2 linked regions of the Nothobranchius furzeri genome follow. The main gene of each other region encodes a partner of the protein of the gene in region 2 in a complex. Links are inferred from orthologs where the notes say so. Each region holds a gene or a part of one and is shown on either strand. Other genes may lie near its edges.

The links.
Region 1: tubgcp4 (region 2) and nme7 share a complex: the UniProt entries of both Homo sapiens proteins name them as parts of the gamma-tubulin ring complex. The link is inferred for Nothobranchius furzeri from reciprocal best matches to the Homo sapiens genes TUBGCP4 and NME7.

The regions. Positions count from the first base shown.
Region 1 is NC_091756.1:61,680,337-61,683,902, forward strand, and holds the end of nme7 (nucleoside diphosphate kinase homolog 7), read right to left. Parts: intron 1,362-3,566; coding exon 1,254-1,361; intron 753-1,253; coding exon 720-752; 3' UTR 634-719; downstream 1-633. UniProt on the Homo sapiens protein: Possesses an intrinsic kinase activity. Displays 3'-5' exonuclease activity with a preference for single-stranded DNA. Does not seem to have nucleoside diphosphate kinase activity.
Region 2 is NC_091749.1:30,376,780-30,381,288, reverse strand, and holds the start of tubgcp4 (gamma-tubulin complex component 4), read right to left. Parts: upstream 3,021-4,509; 5' UTR 2,910-3,020; coding exon 2,832-2,909; intron 2,506-2,831; coding exon 2,377-2,505; intron 2,091-2,376; coding exon 1,968-2,090; intron 1,888-1,967; coding exon 1,834-1,887; intron 1,761-1,833; coding exon 1,704-1,760; intron 1-1,703. Other genes in the region: cdkn2aip (CDKN2A-interacting protein), read left to right, coding at 3,648-3,889. UniProt on the Homo sapiens protein: Component of the gamma-tubulin ring complex (gTuRC) which mediates microtubule nucleation.

The sequences.
Region 1 (3,566 bases), on a different chromosome or scaffold from region 2:
TCTGCAATGCCCAGAGTTGTAGTCTAGTCCTGTTATCTTTGTCTTATGTCAGCTTTAGTGGTCCAAGGTGTGTGTGTGCGTGTGCACACTCGTGTCTGTGCAGGCATGTTATTGTATGCGAGTATGGAGTGTTTGTCAATGTGCTCTGACTAACTGAAGTACTGGCATGGTACTCTGACCCATGTAGGAGTAAAGAACCACGCTCCATCTTTTTGTTTGTGCCTTTCTACATTCAGGTTGGCTGTAGAAAGATCCATTTGTACACGTTTACTTTGCTAATAGATAGTTTGACATTTTTGTTCATTTTTAATCATTTTTAATTCGTAGTGTAAAGCTTTGTGGGTCCAGCCTAAGAAGACTGTCACCTCCATGGAAACAGTGGCATCTCAGTGCTTTGAAATCTGTTTTGCTGGAGACGTCACTTCGTGTGATGCAACTATTGAATGTTTTAGCCATTTTCATAGTTGAAGAGTTTTATATTTATGCAGTTGTACATTTTTTTTCAAAGTGTAATGTATATGATAATACCAAAGTCGCTGGTTAAAACCATCAGGCAGTGCAGTAGTAATACGATGTTTAGTTTGTGTGCAAACAAAATCTTAATACAACGTTGGAAATCAAAACACCTGTCGAGAGTCTGCTCTTGTCTCTTTATTTAGTCTGCAAGAGGTTGAAACAATAAACAGAAGAATGAACAATAGTCACACTTTCTCTTGATTTCATCGATCCAAAATCTTGAAGAAAAACTCCACCTGGAAGAAGAGTAGGAATGAGTTGGTCACACATCAGCAGAGTGGATGCCTCATGTCTAAAGCAAACATGCCTGCTGTGTGAGAGCAGAAGCTGTGACTTTAACTCTTCTCTGGTCTACACAGGCTCTGTTGGTCAGTCTGTTCCCAGTCTTGGGAACATGGCTGCTTAGTTAGTCACAGGCTAATGTTCAACAAGGAAGCAATTGTCCAGGCTACAGATCAGGAGTTTTCCTGAACAATGACGTCGGACGGGTCCGACCCACTGCCTGCAAAACAATGGTTTTGTTTCAAATTCCTCTGCCATTCTTGATCTCCTGAAAACCAGTGTGATGTAAGGTTGCCCCAGCCCACTGGAGTCATGAGACCCGTCTAAAGACGCCGCGTCACAGGCGAGGTGAGGGGGCTTTGTTCTTGGCTGAAGGTAGCTGTGTACGTACGAACTGTAGGACAGCATGGAAACGTATCGAAACGCTGGGCAGATGATGCGTGTGAGAGACTAACCTCTAGAATGCCGTCTTCAGGAAGGTCCGTGCAGTGGACGGCCGTTTTTACGTTGTCTGTGCCATAGAGCGCACGCAGTGTGTTAGGACGAAGAAGCCGTGCGATTTCCTGTTGGATGAAAACCGTTTGTTATAACTTCTCTGATAAAACGAGAACAAATCACCTTCAGCTTCACCCAGCTGGCAATGACTCGGCAACTTTTGTGTCTGAATGTCAAACGGTGAGCATGATGTCTGAAACTGAACATCCTGTGCCCTGGCATGTTAATTCAGCAGTGATTACTCAGCAGCTCAGCATGTGATCCTGTACAAGCTAAAAAACACACTCAGCAAAGCTTTTTATGGGCTGTATGAGGAAATTAATATCAGTGCTTTATACTCAAATACCACCGTTTTTAGCTGAGTACATACTGTCCTGCGAGGAAGTATCCCCCTTACAGATTTCTTCTGTTGATTTTTGTGACGTCAAAGTCAAATGTTTCAGATCAACAAACACTTTTCAATATTAAAGATAACCTAAGTAAACACAAAGTGCAGTTTTAAAACGAGGATTTGATCAAATGTGGGTAAAAATCTGTCAAACAACCTGAATCTTTGAGAATATAAATTGTCCTCTTCATTAAATCACGCATTAACTGTAATTAATGATGATTTTTGGAGAGGTGAGTTTATTTCACTATTCTGATTTCTGTCAGACCAGCAGAATTCAGAAATCACTTCAGTAGAGCCTGTCTGACAACATGAAGTAGACCAACAGAACATGGCCTGATCTAAGGAGATTAAAAAGGGGAAAAAATCCCTGAACAACATCTAAGACCGCACTTGGTTATGATTAAGGTCATGATTTACCAACAATAAAGAGATACGGAGCTAAATGGCCTCCAAGTGAGAGTTTCAAGGCCAAAATATCTACTGATCCTTAAAAGAAAACAAAGGCATGCCTGCATTTACCAAAAGACATCTGTGTGATTTCCAAGAGTGATGGGAAAATACTCCATATGATGCTACATGAGTGGAACGTTGTAGAAGGTCTGCTTCCAGTAACGTATGGTGGTGGTAGTGTGATGGTCTGTGGCTGCCTTGCTAACTGATGGAACCATGATTTCTGCTCCAGGAAATTCTTAGGCAGAAAGTCTGACCTTTGACCTTAAACATGCTGGAAAATGCTTCAATGTGTCTATAACATTCTACATTTCTACAATACACTTCTATAAAAACGATGAGAGCGACTCCCAGTTCTCATAAACTCTGGATTGTGGCTTTTGCTGCCAAGAGTGTTGGAACAAGTTTAGGAGTCGGTTACTTTTAAACAGAGCCAGGTTAGCCTGGATAACCATTTTGTCGATCTTTGGCGTGGAGATTAATTTGTTGACCCTTAAGAGAGGAGAAAAAACAAGAATCTGGGCGAGGTGAACGCTTTTCACAGCTCTGTTCCATCAGTCAGTTTTTCTGCATTTCTTTTTAAATTAAATCTTTTTCAGCATATTTAATAAATCTTTTTTTTAACACTGGCTTACTAACTGTAAGCCCCTTCTTTCCAGGAAAAACAACGATTTTCTTCCAACATCAACTCCTCCCAAGGTCAAAGCTGGACTCTTGCTTTTGTTCTTCCAGGAAATGAAATCCTCCCACGGGGTCCTCCGTGGAAGGAGGGGCCGCGTGTGAATAATTAATTCATCAAGACAACTAAGGTCTAAAGCAGAAGAAATGTAGAATAATGTGGTAACACATGAAGAGAAGTAAACCGTGTGATTATCAGAGACTTAAGCAGAATCTGCATCACAATCTCTCCTCGTTGATGCCTTCTGGCACAGCATGAGAGCTCACTGGAGGCAGGAAAAGGAATTCAAGGTCACAAATGTGCCCGACCCGTACGATTCATTGTCTTAAACTGCAAAAAGGAAAAAGTTTTATAGAATAGTTTACTGTTGTACAGACGTCACTAACGTCTAACAGCATGCCTGGGTCAGCACGGGACACAGCAGGACTTGGGAGTCGTATTTCCTGATATTTGGACATCTCTCCTCTGATTGGATAACAGCAACATGACCACCACTGATTCTGTTTGCTCTGTGACATTAATGTTTTACCTCCACAAATAACACAAGTCTGGAGGAGCTTCTGCTGTGTGGCTGAGTAGCTAATGCTAACGGTTAGCTCTGCTGTATCTTGAACGCTAAAACAGCAATAGCCCTCCTCGTCATGAGTCAAGATGAGTGAGTACATGCTTATTTTTATGTTCAGTCTGTGTGAAAAACTCAAGAGTGACTGATTATAATCAGAAATAATCATTAAAAATGTTTTTTCGGAGTCC
Region 2 (4,509 bases):
TACTCGTTTCATGCTCGTATTCGTCAAAAATGCTTTAACCGTACCGGATACTCGTTTCAGACGAGTATCCGGCTCATCCCTAATAGTTAGCCTCATATAATAATTCTGTTTTTTAGTTAAATTTATCCCCAAGTATTTTATTACTTGGGTTTTCCAATTGATATTTAATCTATTTCTAATTTCCTCTCCTGGTGTATAGTTGAAGTGGATAACTTGTGATTTTGCCATGTTAAGTTTGTAACCTGAATAAAGATTAAACCTTTCTAATAAGTCCAAAAGTCTAGGAAGAGATGTATCTAACTCACTGAGGTATAACATAACATCGTCCGCGAACAAGCCAATTTGTGTTCATTTCCACCTATTACGATCCCTTTCAACCCTTCCTCTTGTCGAATTGCTTGTGCCAATGGCTCGATATACAGTTCAAAAAGCGTGGGACTTAAACAGCATCCCTGCCTTGTGCCTCTACTTAGCTCAAAACGATCTGACAAAGAGCCGTTCACCTTAATTCTAGCAGTGGGGTGCTGATACAATGCCTTAATGATCTTAACTACATCTTCATTAAATCCAAATCTTTGCAAAGTTTAATAGAGAAACCCCAATCTACTCTATCAAATGCCTTTTCGGCATCAAGGCTGAACTAATTTTATGTTCTATTAATTGTATGGAATATATGGATAGTTCTGCTAATATTGTCCTGTGTTTGTCTTCCTGGTATAAACCCACACTGGTCCTCATCTATTAGATCTGTTATAAAGGTTTCTAGTCGCTTCCCAATAATTGAGGTGTATATTTTGTAATCTATGTTCAAAATTGATATTGGCCTATAATTTATACAGTCTTTTCTATCTTTATTTTTCTTAGGTATCAAGGAAATAATGGCCTCCTTCCAAGAGGGAGGTATCTGACCTTCCTTTATAGTCCAATTAAAATAATTTAACAAAAGCATTATCTTTTATATTTATGATTCTTTCAGTTACAGATTTAATATTAGAAGGAGATTGTTTTGTTTACATTTTGGGTATTTTGTAAAGTCTACTTTCAAATAAAAGCACAAAACTGTAGGAAAGTCTAAAATCCCTTATAATTTGACCAAGAATTAGGGATTAAGGAGCCAGGATTAATGTCTTAACAGTCTATCATGTTAAAGGAGAATCCAGAGAAACTTCTGAGTATATCTTAAAGCTCTTTATAAGGATCTCTGAGTAGAATTAAAAAGCATTTTTGGTCTAAAAGGAGAAAAGGGGCATGTCTGCTTTTTAGCAGTGCGATACAGATCGTGTAGAGGGAAAAAATAACACCCGGACATGTTTTGATTGGTTGAATAAAAAAAAGAAAGAAAGAAATAACTGTTTCTGAGTATTTCATCAGTGAAGCACGGTGGTGACAGAATCATGGTGTCACACCTATGAGTGAAATTTTATCAGAAGCAATCAAGAATTTAAAGAAGGACAACGTCCTTAAATGTAAAAACAATTTTGCAAAAGAATCTAAGTGAAAGTCTAGCTCTGACATTAATAAAAATGCTGTTGAGCAGTCAAAAGTCAGAGGTAACCCACTAACATGAAGAGTTTATACTGTGCAAAGGGTCGGATTGGAATGACTGATCATATATTTGTGAGAAAACAGCAGCAGCTTTTGTGTGAGGGATAAAATGAGTTTACATTTCATTTTATTAAGTTCATGCATTAAGCGTTCCTTACCTTCTGTGATTTTATGGTCTCCACCACCACCATAACAGAGGGGAACAGCAACTGAAACTTCAATAAAAAATGCAGCTTTAGACAGATTTGAATCAAGTAAACAACTGTTAAGCTTTTATTACAGAATTACCTCATCAAGCTTGTAATTTACGTGAGATATTGTCAAGTGTGGATCTCCCAGGAACTGAAACAAACACACAGGTCAAATGAGCTTCCTCTTATGTGTTCAATGAGTCCCGGGTATTAGCTGTTTGATGGTTTTACCTCCTGCTCCAGGTCCAGCAGGGCCTGTCTGTACGGCTGCAACATTGAGTCCAGACCAGTGCAAAATGCCCGCAAATAAATTCCATGAAGTCCCGTCTGGTTCAGCGGGTTCATGTGGTGTTCCTGCAAAATACATTGTGTATAAACAAAGGGGGCTTCGTTCTGGATTAAAGACTGAAAAGTATTTTAAATGACGTGAAGAATTGAAGGAAAGTTCAATTTAAATTTTATTTATTTCATGTTTTGTTGAGGATATTTTCTTTGTATTTTAATATAAACTGTGTTGGATTTGATGTGATCAAATACCAGCTAATAAAGTACATTTGTGCTGATGGAGATACTCAAAAATTAAGCTGTGAGCAATAAAAGTTTAAATCATATGCAAACGTTTCATGACACCGATAATAACCTGCTGGTGAACATGGCCGGTGTGTTGCTCTATAAACTCAGTGAAGCGTATGTAATCTGAGCCCAGTTTACACAGCCGGTTCAGGACACTGGTCTCACTGGGGTGAAGGAAGGGCAGGTCCTGGGACACCTGGAAAGGAAATTAAAAGATGATGTCACGCTGAGAAAAGACTGGCATCTTTTTTTAATAAACTAGCTCTGGTTGATCGCAAGTGAAAATGGAATCAAGAGTGTAAATGGTGTTTTGAAATAAAATTAATTGAAAATCTCTTATCAATAGAACTGTGCAGCAACAAATATATTCAAGGTAAAATAATTATAAAAAGCATCCAAGAGTGAGAAAAAAATTATTACACAGCCATATGATAAGCAATGTAATTTTAGAAGTAAATAGCTAGGTTAAGCTTTTGCTACTGAGTGCTAGCATTTAAACGGCATTGCTCAGTCAGTTTTTACCTGTAGACCTGTTCGTTTGTTCCATGAGAAGATTGCACCTGGGTATCTACTCAGCGCCAACAACAGCTCGTGAATCATGTTTTTTCATCTAGTGACAACAGGTAACACAGCAAAGCTTCTCACTCAGACAAAAACAAACCAGCGCCTTCCGGTCACGGTGTCGCAGGTTTCTTACGTTTAACGCACTGGTTGCGTCACGTTTTTGTAGACGGGGTTGCGCTGTCTGTTTTTATTGTTTATCACAAAATAAATCAGTGTGTTTTTGCGCTGCAAGTTAGTTTCACTTGAATAGCGAATGGTGGCTGTGTTGATGCTAAAATCGTAAAACACTCGTAACAACTTGTGGCGCACAATTGTCTTCTGGGTAATGTAGTTTTCCGGTTACGTCGTGGTCTTGCGTCATATTTGGACAAATAGCTAGCTAGCTGGCAGAATCGTAACAGAAACGGCTTAGTATGTCGTAGTTTTTTTTTTTATATCAAACGGCTCCATACTGACTTGACAGGCAATGAAAATTTCGCTAGTTGTTGTGGAAAGGCTGGTCTCAGTGTTGTAGGTTTTTGCGTGGTGTTTGGTTTAGCTAATGTTACGCGGCTCAACTTGTCAGGTAATTTGAGTCACTTCGTAGTAATATGAAAATATTTAGTCACCCTAGCTAATCAACCAGACACAATAACAACTTAAACATTAACCATTAGTAAGCCAGTGTAGTCAGTACATGCTTTGTGTTGACCTGTTGACATGTAACTTTGTACAGATCTTTGTGTTTAACCAACATAAATGCGAGTTTTGGAAATCTCTGTCTGTCCACCAGGGATGGCGGGGCATATGAGCGCAGATGTCTCAGAATACCTGAGCCAGAACCCTGAGCTGGCCCAATGGATCGACACACAACGAGACTACTGCGAGAGCAACAAGCAGTGGTCGGCTCGGAGGGAGTTCATTCTGAGAAACATGGAGGCTTTCCCCACGGTGAAACCTGGGGTCCCTAGCAGCAGCCTGGACAGGCTGCTGTCTCTGTCCATGGTCTGGGCAAATCACGTCTTCCTCGGTTGCAAGTAGGTTGACACACCGACAGAGCTACACACAAATTTGTTTTTGCTTATACATGCAACAAAAAATATAAATAAATAAAATTAAATCATTGAATGCAATCAACAAAGTGCTGAAACCCAGGTTATTTTGGACTATTTGAATGGACTTTGCTTTTAAAATGACATTGATAAGTTGTTATCATCAAACTTCAATAAACTAAGGATGTACAGTACAGCTCATTGCTTAAGGTTATGCCCCCTGGTAGAGTACAGTTATAAATACACAACAAACCCCATCTGGTCTAAAAGCATCCAGATGGAGTATAAGGATTTGTACGTTCACTGAACACTTTCCATATCATGTCTTTTCATGTCTACTGCCCTCTTGTGTCAGATATACAAGTGCCAATTTGTTTTTATTTCTTACTGTTAAAAGTCAGAGTGTATCTTTTGCTATTCTTGTTTTGTTAGACATCCCCAATAGGAGTCTGTTCCTTTCTGAGCTTCTTTACTAAATCAGCCCAAATAGCTGTACATTACAGAGGAAAGGTTCAGCAGGCTTTGCAAATTGCAACGGACTGTAGAGTTGAAAATGATGTCTAACATCTGTCAGTTTGACAGTCTGTCCCGAGTTTTCACAAGAC